2 linked regions of the Nothobranchius furzeri genome follow. The protein of the gene in region 2 interacts with the protein of the main gene of each other region in a biochemical or structural test. Links are inferred from orthologs where the notes say so. Each region holds a gene or a part of one and is shown on either strand. Other genes may lie near its edges.

What was found.
Region 1: the proteins of magi3a (region 2) and adrb1 interact in a test that uses a peptide from one of them, tested with the Homo sapiens proteins (2 studies listed by IntAct, with this or other methods). The link is inferred for Nothobranchius furzeri from reciprocal best matches to the Homo sapiens genes MAGI3 and ADRB1.

What each region holds. Positions count from the first base shown.
Region 1 is NC_091756.1:38,263,996-38,271,546, forward strand, and holds adrb1 (beta-1 adrenergic receptor), read right to left. Parts: upstream 4,512-7,551; 5' UTR 3,804-4,511; coding exon 2,436-3,803; 3' UTR 1,980-2,435; downstream 1-1,979. UniProt on the Homo sapiens protein: Beta-adrenergic receptors mediate the catecholamine-induced activation of adenylate cyclase through the action of G proteins. This receptor binds epinephrine and norepinephrine with approximately equal affinity.
Region 2 is NC_091755.1:38,352,655-38,359,766, reverse strand, and holds part of magi3a (membrane-associated guanylate kinase, WW and PDZ domain-containing protein 3a), read left to right. Parts: intron 1-231; coding exon 232-432; intron 433-1,094; coding exon 1,095-1,280; intron 1,281-1,363; coding exon 1,364-1,457; intron 1,458-3,448; coding exon 3,449-3,524; intron 3,525-3,714; coding exon 3,715-3,852; intron 3,853-5,645; coding exon 5,646-5,784; intron 5,785-6,025; coding exon of another isoform or gene 6,026-6,078; exon of another isoform or gene 6,079-6,117; intron 6,118-7,092; coding exon 7,093-7,112.

The DNA of each region.
Region 1 (7,551 bases), on a different chromosome or scaffold from region 2:
TTTCCAGCATCCATCCTTTCTGGTTGACTAAAGCCACACCTCATTATAAGCCGCATGGTTGAAAGCGTGGAAAAAAGTAGCGACGTATAGTCCGGAAAATACGGTATTGTTTTCTGTGGTTGGCCCTATAGTTGTCAGTGATAGTATCTCCCTCTCCGTTGCAGCTGTGCAAGCATCACCACAATGAAACATTGCCTTTTTGATGCATGTGGGATACCGTAGTTGCAATACCTCATCTGAACTAAGTGGTGCTAAAGAGTCTAATTTTTTCCCACATTGAGCCTTTAATTTTATAAAATACCAATGAAAATGAACCAAACATTTTAAACTCATTTGTGTATTTTGTCAGCAGCTGATTGGTCTTGGATCATAAGAGAAACACAGCCGTTTGGTGGTTACTCATGTTCTTTACTCATGTTTCTTATGTCAATTTTCTAAAAGAAAATGACAAAAGCTTGATCCCCAGTTTTTTGCTCTTTGTGTTCTTTGAAATAACCAATTCACCACGTCACAAACCAGAGGTGTGAACCTATTAAAAAAATACAGACAGACATTGTTTAGTTGCTTTACAAGTTGATATGTTCTGATCCCTGCGATGGACTGGCTCTCTGTCCAGGGTGTACCCCGCCTGATTGCCCATTGACCACTGGAGATAGGCACCAGCCCCCCCCCCCCCCCCCCCCCAACCCTACATGGACAAGCGGGTTCAGACAATGGATGGATGGATGTTCTGATCCACAGGTTCAGGTTTGCCATGTATGAAGAATAATCTCCACATTTTAGACTTGTACAGTGAACAGGGAGGGACAAATATTACTGGAGTAAAAGTATTTTAAATGAAAGTTAGCAATGCAGGCCTCAAGTGCATGGGGGGCTAATGTTATTCTCATATTTCAAGAATTACAATATTATGTCTTAGTGAACATCAGTCTACATGATATTAAAATATTAAAATTGAAATTTATTTTTAAACAAAAAAAGTAAAATTTGGTGGTTTTAAACTGCTGTAAAATTGAAGTTTACTTTTCAAAGAATATAAGTAAATAACATAAAATGATGCTTTATTTTATACTCCTAATCTCTTTGATAATCTTTTAAACATAAAATTATTTGAATTGTTTGAGAACAGGAATTAATTCTGTGCAAATTAAGAACATTGATAAATGATCTCTGGTTAAATTTAGTCACACATTCAAAGGAAATTGGATCCCTTAAGGGATCTCTTAAATAAACTTTGTACTTTGTCCAGCACTTGTCTGAGCTTGCATTAGACTCTAAATTCTTAGATTCAGATCACCACATTTTTACATTTTAACGTTTAAATTTCACTTTGTATATTTATGTTTGATTCTAAGCATTTAGATTTTATTTTACACTCTTAGACCTGATTCAAAATATTTAGATTTAACTTTAATAGTTGCAGCCAAGTGTAAAATTTAGCTGTTATGTTACGTGTTATTTTCACAATCGGTGCCCCATACCAGTGTGCTTCCATTAAAACTTTGATTTGTGATGTTGTGGTATGGGAACAAAGTGAGTCAATAAACATCTATACATCTCATATCCCTGTTTAAAATTCATGTTATCCATATCTTTCCTTGGAGGCCAATCAGATTCCAGCTGTTCTCAGCCAGCAGGGAAGCATTTAACAGGCAGGCTATTAACAAATCCTGGGTTATTTTTAAACTTTGCATCTAGTTCAAAAAAGTATTATGTAAAAAATAAGAAATTACCATGGAGCAAAAGCCTGTGGATCAGGTTCTAATATAAAACCACTCACAGGAAATACAGCTCGAACAGAACTAAGCAATCAAAGGTTATTTTTATTTTCACAGACGTCAAAGCACCACCTTAAAACAGCTGGTAAAGCCGGAGACAGACAGAGGCTCGAGATTCCTCATTCCACACCACAAAATGCGCAATTATTGACCCCTCACTTGGTTATGTTGTAAAAGAACGCACCGAATAAATAAAAACACTTATTTTACATTATGTTTAATATAAACAAGTACCTGCCGTATAAATTGCACCGGCCTGTGAGGTAATTAAGAGCTTATTGGCATCCACGTTATGCGCGTTTTGGAGCGCCTCAGAGATCATTTTAGGAACACATTGTTTCCCATTATGAACAAAGGTATCAGCAAAACGTGATTCTTTTAATATTATAGCCACCTGGTCGACAGATCTGGAGTAAAAAGTCGCATCTGCAGTAATAAATCACCTTAAGGCTCGTGCGCTTTTGTGGAAAAAGCGCTTTGTGTTCTGTGAGCGCAAACCTTCGATTTTGGATTTATCGCATCGATGAATTAAGACCAAGATCTTTAACTGATTGTACAGACAACTCCACTTACAGCGAATGGTTTGGATTTTACGCGCATCCTTTCCTGTTTGTATATATTTTTAACTCTCCATCTGGATGGTTTTATTTATTTTCTTCACAGTTGTGATTCTGAGTGGGACAGTTTCGCTGTCCCCAACAGGCTGCTGTCGCTGTTGTCCAGGACGGCGCAGTCCGACCACATCTCCAAGGTCCCGGGCTCCAGCGCGGACACGAACCCGCCGGAACAGCGGGACAGGTCGCAGGAGCTGATGTGCAGCCTGCGGTCGGCTTGTCTCGGGCAGCACAGCAGCCTCTTGAAAGCCTTCCTGAAGTCCGGACTCCGGCAGTAGATGATTGGGTTAAAGGCCGAGTTCACGTACCCCAACCAGTTCAGGAACACGAAGAGGTTCTTGTCCACCACCTCTGCGCTGAACACCCGCACCACGTTGACTATGAAGAAGGGCAGCCAGCACAGAGTGAAAGTCCCCATGATGATGCCCAGCGTCTTGAGCGCCTTCTGCTCCCTCAGCGCCAGGATCTTGGACGGCCTCTTCTTGCACTTGGAGGTGAGTCCAGTCAGGGTGTTGTGAAACCTGCCCTCGCACTTGTCGATCTTCCTCAGCTGCTGCTTGGCCTCTCTGTACACCCGTGCGTAAACGAAGATCATGACCAGGAGAGGAATGTAAAAAGATATGATGGATGAGGAGATGGCGTACGCCCGGTTGGTGACAAAGTCGCAGCACTCCGGGTTCTCGTAGCAGGCTGTGTCCACGTTGTCGCGGGACCAGTGCATCAGGATGGGCAGGAAGGAGACCAGCGCAGAGATGGCCCACACCACGCACACCACCGCCTTTGCGCGAGCCTTGGTTAACAAGCTCTGGTAGCGGAAAGGTGAGGTGATGGCCACATACCTGTCTATGGCGATGACGCACAGGGTCTCGATGCTGGCGGTGACGCACAGCACGTCCACGGAGATCCAGAACTCACAGAAAAAGGAGCCGTAGAGCCAGGAGCCGCGCACCTCAAGCGCGGCGCCAAATGGCACCACCAGCAGCCCCATGATGAGGTCCGCGCTCGCCAGCGACACGATGAACACGTTGGTGAGCGTCTGCAGCCTCTGCGTCTTGGCTATGGCCACGATCACGAGGATATTCCCGAACACGATGGACACGACGATCAGACCCATCACCAGGCTCATCCCCGCCATCCACTGCTCCGACGCAGGTGAAGCGGAGCCCGGCGCCTCGCTCCCCGTGCCATTGTGGAGGTTCACCGGTGAGAACGCACCACCGTTCCCCATGACGGGCTGCTGCTCTGTGAGCTGGACCAGCTCGGTCTCATCCAGGCAGCGCTGTGCGGCGTTCACGCAGCTCTCATCCCATCGCGCGCCGACTCCACGGAGTGTTTTAGCTTCTCTCTCTGGATCTGCGCTCGAAACCGCGCCGGCCTGGACAGCGAGGTAGGCGGTGACATCACCGCTCATCACGGCCAATCAGAAAGTCCAGGGGACCCGCGGTCCCAGCGGTGAGGATCAGGAAACAAGCTGCACCTGAGAAAAGCAGACTTCCAGTCTTATTTTGCATGCACTGGACAGTTACTGAACATTCGCGATATTCTGATGAGAAATTGACCCATGAATTTCTTATCCTGCAAAACCCCACACTGTGGGAAAACGGTGCACCAAATATGGGAAACATCACAATGGTCCAGAGGGAATTCCCTCCTGTCACCACTTGCTATCACGTCCAGAACTTGTTTTTCTCCTTATATTTTTATCTCTGAGAATACATTCCTTAAACATGAGACTTGACCCAACACAGACCTGCAGACTGGCCTCACAGCTGCATAAAGAAGCGTTTGGCTCACAACCAGATTTTATTAAATGCATCAATGTAAAGACTCACCACTGTCCCACTTGAGTTTGTTTTAAATAAACTGGTCACTCTGCACCTGCTCAGCTGTTTAATTAATGTTAATGAGAGAATATGTGAACTACCTGGATCCGTCCTGTCTTGTATCATTGCTGCAGCGTGGTACAATGGTGTGGGGGAGATGTTCTTGTCCCACTCTGGACCCCCAGTGCCACCTGAGCCTGGTTTAAACACCACAGACTACCATGTCCATCCATGACCACGTGGACCCTAACCCATGCTACACTTTCAGCAGGATAAAGCACCATGTCACGAAGATCATCTGGTTTCATGACCATGAGTTCACTGGACTCCAACCATGTCCACAGTCAGATCTCAGTCCAGAACATGTGGGATGTGGTGGAACAGGAGACTCCCATCATGCAGCTGTGTGATGCTGTCATGTCAATATGGACCATAACCTTTGAGCTCTGAGTGATTGTACACCTTAGTCCACATCAGATGTGTAAATTTCCACCGGCCTCATGACAAACAGTCTGCACAAAAATGGAAAACAACAAAACTTTGTTTGTTTTTATGTGGACGATTTACGCTCCCGCCCATGAACCCAGCGACCCCACAGCTGAGGCTGCAACACAACCCGACCCAACACAACGAAGAGAAGTCAACATTCCCCCTTGACCTTTATGAGCAGCAGGATGCTTTTATTTTTTTCTTTTTTGACCTTGAAGTGTGGAGGCTGAAGCAAAGCCTTTTGATTATGATGTTTTTCCCTGCTGGCTTTTTGGTGGAACAATTAAGCGTCACACATTTGGAACCAGTAAAGGGTTAAGTCATTTCCTGTTCTCAGTGTTTTCCCTTCATTTGCACCATTAGAGGCAGAAACTTCTGATGAAGCAGAGAAAATAACCCAAGAACGGTACTCATGCATCACCGAGAGGAATATTAAATATTTCTCTTTGTGATGAAGTTGTTATGCATGGGTAACACCAACTTCTGATTCTGGAAAAACATTTAAACACACAGTTTTTACATACATGTGAGCTGAGCACAGAATAAATTAAGCTTAGAATGAAGTAATAACAGCTCTATTCTTGACTGTTTGAAATATTATGTAGTCAGCTGAAAGATTTTTAAGTGAAACACCCTAAAAATATTTCAATCTTATGTTTTGTTTTCTCAAATGATTCTGGTGTTTGTGACGGAGTCAGAGAAAAGGGCTGAAAGTTCCTTCAACATATTGTTAATTTTTCCTTGAATAAATGCAAAGAGCCACATTTTACGTTTATTATGTTAATGTATTTAGCAGACGCTTTTATCCAAAGCGACTTACAGTTTATAACCTATAGGGCATGTTGTGATCTGTGGGGGAAACCGGACCCGGAGGAAACCCACGCATGCATGGGGAGAACACACAACTCCACGCAGAAAGGCCGCTATGACTATACAGGTGATTTTATCTTCTTATAAACATGTAAGACTCTTATTATTTTGATTTGTTAAATTTAAGTATTTATTTATTTATTTTTTTTTACAAAAAGCAGAATCAACGGATGTAACACTAAAGCATGCAAACACTAATAGACTTCCTAAAATGAGTGGATAACCAGAATTGTTTTATTACCCAGCTGTAACTTCCAAATCGCAGCAAAGTTCCCATGTTTCCAAAATCCTGCAGAATCCCAATCGTTCCTTTTGAGTATCGGAGTGTGAGAATAGCCATGAAACATCTTCCATTGTATGAGACTCCCTCTTGGTGTCTCTGCATTTTCTACGATCTGCAGAAAACAGCCATTTTCCACCACTCAGGTCTGCAGCAACAGCCACTTACACAGGATGGCACACACTCACACAACTGTTTGTTCTAAAACTGTGGAGCCTCACATCTGGGTGGTTCCAGATGTGAGTTGTCTCACTGAGTCAGGATCCTGGAGCAGTAATCGCTTCAGCTTCAGACCCACAAAATAGCAATTTTCAAGCCATGTGACCCCAAATATCTCTGAATTAAGAATAAAGCCACGCCTAAACAGTGAACTGTTCTTTGGGAGTCTACCTGATCCCTGCTGGCCGAAGCTGGGAAAACACAAAAATGGCTACAACTCAGTCATTCTTTTCATTTATTGAGCCAGCATTCATTATAATAACAGCTAAAAGTAATTGGCATGATGCACTCTGAACACTATCTATGCATCCAACTGTTGGCGGGAGCCCTGCCTGATTAAAGATGGCCCCACAGCTAATCAACAATAGTAAACAACAACAACAACATGCCAGTTTTATAGATAATGGGCTAAAGAGTGGTTCCCACCACATACACAGCTTTAACTTTGTCATTGACAGTTGGAGCTATTGTACTAAGTTTTCTCAAGATTTGACACAAAATAAATATCTTCATCATTTTTGAACGGAAAACTATTCTGGTTTAGTTTTAAAGTGTTTTGCAGACATTCTTGCTCAGTGTTAACGTTTTTGGTTAGAAACTGGGCTGCTATGCTATCTCATGCAAAAGGAACCTGCTCAACCACTTTAAATAGACTTTGAAGGTTTTGAGTCATATTTCTGATTTTTGATTGTGATTTCTCCTATGACTGGCTAACAGCAATGCAACTCTACCACTGACTCAGTTTGCTCTGCGGTGTTGATGTTTTATCTCCACAAATAACACAAGCCTGGAGGAGTTCTGCTGTGTGGTGATGTTGCTAATGCTAATGTTAGCTTCTACTAGCTGAGACGTTCTCTGTTGTGTCCTGGACGCTAAACCAACAACAACCTTCACCGTTGTGAGTCAAGATGGGTGAGTTCATGGTTGTTGTGTGACAGTGTGACGTAGATCTGTCAGGCTTTTCAAATCCTATTTTCTATCAGAAGCTAATGCAGCAGATAGGTGTAGGAGACTATTTTCATATTCAGTCTGCATGAAAAACTCAGAGTGACTGATTATGATTAGGACTAATAATTATAAAATGTTCTTTTCAGTATTCCACACCTTAAAAATCACCATTTTATTGTGAATGTTGTAATCTATTTATAGATTTTCATGTTTATTTAGTCAAATTTCTGTTATTTTACATTTTGTTTTAAGCTACAGCCCCTTCTCCTTCTTCCTCAAAAGGCCTTGCCTTCTTCCAGGCCACAGTTGTAAATAAGACTGTTTTTGCCTTGTTGGATCAACACATATTTTTAGAAACTATTTTCTCAGTAAAACTTGCCCAGCATCACAGTCTATTCAGTAAAGTTAACTATGCAACAGGAGGAGTATTCTGCTCTGACCTAAAATAACACTTAGCCATTCTTCTCTGAATAGGACAGGGTCTAAATCCAATGTTTCTGATGTAAGTAAAGCCACGCTTTTGAATCTCT
Region 2 (7,112 bases):
CAGTGGCTTTAATCAGCAAAGGATGGAGAAGGCGGGGCCTTCTTGGGTTACAGAGGTGCAGAGACCCATCACCCCCCACACAAAGGAAGATTCACAGACCAAGCAAAATGAACATTTAATAAAAATACCTAACAATTTATGCCTGCAGTTTAGAGAATATTTTCATAATGTATGTTTTGCTGGTTAGAGCTTTGATACAGTCTTTTCTGATTGTGCATGCTTGTCTCTCAGATGGCAGTGGAGAGGAGGAGAGCGGCCAGAAGCCCCAACAGGTGGCGTCGGCTCTGGTCAGCAGCTCTCCCTCCACGCCTCCCAGCACGCACCCCGCTCAGCCCTCCAGACCGGAGAGCTTCGACGTCACACTGCAGCGCAAAGACAACGAGGGCTTTGGCTTTGTCATTCTCACATCGAAGAACAAGCCCCCACCCGGAGGTTAGCATCAGATCAGAAAAGATCTTTCATCACGTAAAATCACTTCACGGGTGACTTTTGAACGTAATGAAAATGCAAACAGAATGAAGCCAAACTGCATGTATTTGTTACATATTAGTTTAATAGCAGCGTCGCTGTTTCCATCTGCGCCAGTATGAACCGGATTAAGACCTCTGTCTGAGTTAGACACAGCTGGCATTTTCTGATCACTTTAACCCAAATGAGCTCATCTGTCTTAACGGGAATAATGTAATTAAGCCATGGGGAGGGCTTGTTTTCATAGCTCGATTCTATCAGCGCGCAGCAGAGATGCTGCTGGCGAAAGGGACGATCTGTGTTTTCAGGGATTAGAATCTAATCGAGCATTCTGATGGATGCAAAAAGCTTGGGAGCATTTTTTAAACCAGAACATTTATATTGACTGAGCTTATTGTTTTTTCTTGGGGTGTCAGAAACTGATTCGTCATCACTGCGTTCCCTTCTCGGCTCAAAGCTGTGGAGCGTGTGGCTATTTTTGAATACTTTTTCATTAGAATTACACCTAAATTCAACATAATCACATAAGAATCTAGAACATTTCCCCACATTTGTACAGGTGTCTTTTTTCGTTGCTTGTTGTTTCTGCTGAACATGATCATCGTTGCTCTTTTCCTTTCTTCCAGTCATACCTCATAAAATCGGTCGTATAATTGAAGGCAGCCCCACGGATCAGAGTGGTCAGGTGAAAGTGGGCGACCGTATCTCTGCGGTGAACGGTCAGTCCATCATGGAGATGTCGCACAACGACATCGTTCAGCTCATCAAGGACGCCGGGAACACGGTCACCCTGACTGTCGTACCTGAAGACGGTAAGTTGGCTCGAGTCTCAATTTCTACCGCCCTGATCACCGAGGAGAACCAGATAACAGAAAAGGTCGGTGTGTCCTCACAGACGGAGCTCCTCCTTCTGGAACAAACTCTGTGAAGCAGAGCCCTTCGGCCCAGCACAGAGCTGTGGGCCAACAGCCTCCCAGTTACCAAGACAGGTACACAAACGTACACGTGGAGTTCAGACGATGAAGTGCTTCTTGTGCGTGTTATTTAAATGGTTCCACGTGTTAAGATGTCCAACTTGTTTTCAGTGTGTAGCTTGAGTGCGTTGTGGGATTTGTTGGGTGTTTTCTGCTCACAAGCCAAATATTTGTTCAGATCATGTTCAGTAAGGTGAGTTGGATGTGGGCTAGGGCCTTGTGTTGGACGTGAACCGGTACAGTCCAGAGCCTCCGCAGTTTAGTCCACTCATTTGGGTGGAGAGCCTCAAGAGGAGGTTCTTCCTTCCAATGATGAAGATTCAGAATACAAGCACAACACAAGCCTGGAGAACTAAAGAGGCGGAACATTTAGGACCAGGCATCCTGTGTTGCTGGTTGAGATCTAGTAGTCTCCCTTAAGCCGGGCGTACACTGTGCGACTTTTTCACTTTTTTGAGCCGATTTTCCACTCGTGCGAGAATCCACGAGATCAGGGCGAGTTTTGCGCTGAGCGTCGTGTAGTGTACAGGGGGTTACGAGAGGCGATTAACACCACGTGACCAGCTACCGACCAGCAGTCGTGAGGTCACACGGACTTCTGGTGTGTTTGATATTTTGCTCGTCCCTCGTGAGGGTATCGCACTGTTGAAGCGGCGCTGCGAGCAGCTGCGACCCAAAATGTATCAGAACCGCTCACGGCGCATGCGCAATCCTGCATCAACACCGCTCGCCCGCTATTTCCCTAATAACACACGCTGTTCGTTTTTGTTTCTACACGTTTTTTTACTCACAAAGATTGTCAAGAAAGCGTGTTTGTCGTGTTCATGTCAAATTAAGCTGATCACAAAACACAGATTTACTTTCTTTATTTCGTTTTCCTCATCCAACCCCCATAAATCCCTGTGAGTCCTCCTGCAGCACTCCCAAAGGACAACAGGCAAGACAAGACAAAAAAGTCTGACGTGTTGAGTAAAAACTGCTATTTTTAGCATATTTTTAGGGCCGACGTGTTGCTACCAGACGTGCAGTGTGAGCAGTCAGGTCGCATCCGAGAACTGGGTCGTGCAGTGTGAGCGCATGACTCGTGAGATCTGCCCTGCGAGGAAGTCGTACAGTTTGAGCTGAAGCTGAGTGCTACGAGTGAAAAAGTTGCACAGTGTACGCCCGGCTTAGTCTACTTCACACCGATCCTGGTGTGTGCAAACAGCCAAAGCCCTCTGTTACATCGGCTCTAAAGGGGATCGTTCCATCTTTCACTTCACACAAGCTTCTGATCCCAGGTTTGATGCAACCAGAGTTTCAGCCCCAATCGTTCCAAAGCCCCTCTGGTGCTTTGCTGCCATGTGGCCGATTGTCATTAATGGAGTATGTGCTCCTTGTTATCTAACCCCCTTCACACACACACACACACCACCCCATCGACTTGGACAGAGAGACAGAAGTGGAATTAATGAAGGACCATCCTTTTCTTTTGACCCTATTTCCAGGGAGAGTGACCTGTGTCTACTCTTCTACTGGAGCCACCTTTAACCACCTTCTCTCTTCATTGTTGACGTCTCTCCATTACTCAGCAGCACTCTGCCTCCTGGTTTAATCAGCAGCACATGCCTCGGGTCGACCCAGGCTCAGATGCGAGCTGCGGCTGACAGCTTGGCAGCGTGAAGTGCACAAACACTCATCAGGGCTGGAGCCGCTAAGGATGTTCAGCTCTTCAGATGGTGTGTCAGCACGGCTAAGTTCCCACAGAGGCATTGTAATGAGCTCTGCGAAGCGTTAAAGCGTGCCGCTGTTATCCGTCACTGAAACTTGGCTGCAGCACGGCTCTTGGAAGGATTTACGTTTCTCTGCTCGGGTTAAATAATGAAATCATCAGAGAGAGAGAGAGAGAGGCTTGTGCTGCTGGAATCAAGGCGTGGCAAAGCGTGGATCAGAGTTTTCAGTGTTACGGTTTTATGCTTTAAGAACAACCCAGTGTGGTTGACTCCTTTTTTTAAAATCTGTGACAGGAATGGTGACTCTGATCTGAAGAACTCGGTCCAGCCAAATGAACGGGGAGCACTCATCGCATCAGGCCCCAAGCAGGTAAAACCAAAGACACCGTCTGGTGTTTAAGGCTTTAGCTGTATTTTAATGATGTCAGCAAACCGTGATGTGTTTTAAGTCACGTTAAGGGTGAAACTGATTTTTGCTGCATTGTCTTGAGTTTGCGGTGGACTTTTTATGAAGTGCCCCAGTCGTAAAGACGTATTTTGTTTCTCTCTGGGACTAACAGGGCTGCCTCGTGGTGGAGCTCGAGCGCAGCCAGCGGGGTTTCGGCTTCAGCCTGAGAGGAGGAAAAGAGTACAACATGGGCCTGTACATCCTGCGGCTCGCTGAGGAGGGGCCTGCGCTCAAAGATGGGAGGATACACGTGGGTTCATTTATCTGCTCTTTTAATTATAGCTCAATCAGAAATCTATGCAAACCCCTATAAACCAAAATGCTGTGGTAAAACTGGTAACGATAGAACAGAACACGTCAGAATATGGGGATGAATGGGTGGATTGTACTTGCCCATGCCTGAACAGGAAGTCACGGTTCTCCATAGACACCACTTGAATAAAGATAATTTAGTACATAAGACTGTCTTCTCCGGGTGAGGGATGAGGTCCCGAGTGGAGGAGTTTAAGCATCTCGGTCGTGTTCATGAGCGAGGGAAAGATGGAGTACGAGATCGACAGGTAGATTGGTGCTGCGTCTGCATTGATGCGGGCGTTGTACCGGTCTGTCGTGGTGAAGAGAGAGCTGAGCCAGAAGGCGAAGCTTTCGATTTACCGATCGATCTACGTTCCTACCCTCACCTGTGGTCATGAGCTTTGGGTAGTGACCGAAATAACGGGATTGCGGATACAAGCGATCCAAAATTAGTTTTCTCCGCAGAGTGGATGGGCTCTCCCTTAAGCCGGGCGTACACTGTGCGACTTTTTCACTTTTTTGAGCCGATTTTCCAGTCGTGCGAGAATCCACGACATCGGGGCGAGTTTTGCGCCGAGCGGTCGTGTAGTGTACAGGGGGTTACGAGAGGCGATTAACACCACGTGACCAGCTACCGATCAGCAATCGTGAGCTCGCACGGACTTCTGGCGTGTTTAATATTTTGCTCGTCCCTCGTGAGGGTATCGCACTGTTGAAGCGGCGCTGCGACCCAAAAAGTATCAGAACCGCTCACGGCGCATGCGCAATCATGCATCAACGCCGCTCGCTCGCTATTTCCCTAATAACACACGTTGTTCGTTTTTGTTTCTACACGTTTTTTTACTCACAAAGATTGTCGAGAGAGCGTGTTTGTCGTGTTCATGTCAAATTAAACTGATCACAAAACACTGATTTACTTTCTTTATTTCGTTTTCCTCATCCAACCCCCATAAATCCCTGTGTGTCCTCCTGCAGCACTCCCGAAGGACAACAGGCAAAACAAGACAAAAAAGTCTGACGTGTTGTGTAAAAACTGCTATTTTTAGCACATTTTTAGGGCCGACGTGTTGCTACCAGACGTACAGTGTGAGCAGTCAGATCGCATCCGAGAACTGGGTCGTGCAGTGTGAGCGCATGGCTCGTGAGATCTGCCCTGCGAGGAAGTCGTACAGTTTGAGCTGAAGCTGAGTGCTACGAGTGAAAATGTCACACAGTGTACGCCCGGCTTTAGAGATAGGGTGAAAAGCTCGGTCATCCAGGAGGGGCTCGGAGTAGACCCGCTGCTCCTCCACATCAAGCATCTAGTTAAGATGCCTTCTGGACACCTCCCTGGTGAGGTTTTCTGGGCACATCCAACTGGTAGAAGACCTAAAGGAAGACCCAGGACACCCTGGAGAGACTATTTCGCGGCTGGCCAGGGAATGCTTTTGGATCCCTCTGGAGGAGCTGGCCCAAGTGGCTGGGGAGAGGGATGTCTGGGCCTCTGTCTAGGCCACCACCCCCTCAACCCAACCCCGCATAAGCGGATGAAAATGGACGGATGGAATGCATAAGATGAACGAAGACGTGTTTATTTTGTGTTACTTGCTAAACCAGCTTTAGAAGTTACTTGTGTCTACCACTAGGGGGCAGTGTGGAATAAGAAGTATGTGAGAAGGGAGAGTGAGAGAGTTGAGATGGATGCCTGATACTGCCGCATGTGTTGTTTTTTTGTGATTGGTGAATTTAAACTCTAAATCTGAATTGCAGGTTGGAGATCAGATCGTAGAGATCAACGGCGAGGCCACGCAGGGCATCACCCACACTCGGGCGATTGAGCTGATCCAAGCAGGAGGCACTAAGGTTCACCTGCTGCTCCGACCTGGTCAGGGCCTGGTTCCGGATCACAGTGAGTCACGGCTGAAGGATCGCCTGTGTTTAGCTCAACACGCCATCCACTTGAGTACAGAAGATGCTTGGCAGCAGGATGCTTCTTGGTTCTCATGCATGGGTTGCAAAGCTTCTCTTTGACCTTTTCGTTGGTGTCTCCTCATGACCTCTGCTGCTGTTTATCACCTTTGCTTTCTCTGTTTTTCTGCTCTGGCACGGCTGTCTGTTTTCTACCTTTTTATCTCCTCCTCCTCCTATAGGTCTGAACTCTTCTTCCACCCTGTGCTTCTACATGAAACCAGAGCATCAATAAGGCCTCACTGCTTTTTCTCGGTCTGTCCTAATAACCTTGGTAAATCTTGGACTCCTCCTTGTTTTTTCCTTTGACCTCTTGTTGAATTAGTTTATCCCTCTCATAGAGTTTTGTGTGACTAATGGGCCATTCCCATCTGTACCGTGTCGGCCCGGGCCGGGTAGCCCCAGTCGGCCCCAGCCTGGCCCGGTTGATTCCACACATCCTTGTCTTAAGCCCATGTGGGCTGATTCTACCCACCAATCAGAGGCTTGCTCTAATGGAAGGTGTGGATTTGCTGTCAGCAGTGGGTGTGTTGGCCCTGGTCGGCCTGAAGCAGACCCCCTCGAGAAGAGGGCTGAGAATGAGCCTTGGTTGGCCCGGAAAAATACCAGGCCACCCAGATATGTAAACAACCTACGCTACCCGGCCCGGGCCGACCCGGTACAGATGGGAATGGCCCATAATGGTGCAGTCCTCAGTCTGATCTCCAGAGGGTTGATTGGAGGCCTCGGCACCCTCATGCTGCTTGGTGGTCAGCACAACCGTCCCTGTGCTTTCATCAGCATCAACCCTTCAATTCCAAAGAGCAAAATGAGATTTAATTTCTGACTCCAGGAAACCAGAAACCTAATTTCTGCACCACTAAGTCTACTTCTTGTCTTTTACTTCTCCTACCCAGCCCTCACCCCCTTCTGGGGTTTCCTGCTGCACATTTCTGCTCCTAAGCATGGCTGTGCAGCCCTTATCAGCTCATAGGAAAATTGAAACGTCAGTGCGGGTTGAGCCCCGGCACCCTCCCGGCTGATGCATATCTCTCCAGCATTTAGATGGTTATTGCAAAGAGGATTTTCAGTCTGCTTGGTGCTTCTGTTGCATGACATTTTCAATTAATGCTGATTCTTGTTGAATGTGCAAAGCATTCCCTTTAAGGGAGTTTTTTTTTCTTTAGCTTTGGCATTTTATTTGAATTCCTGCAGCAGATTAGAGGTTAGCTGGATAATTTTCTGAAATTTTAATGTTTGTTTTTTTTAGGTTCAAAAGACAAACGAGCC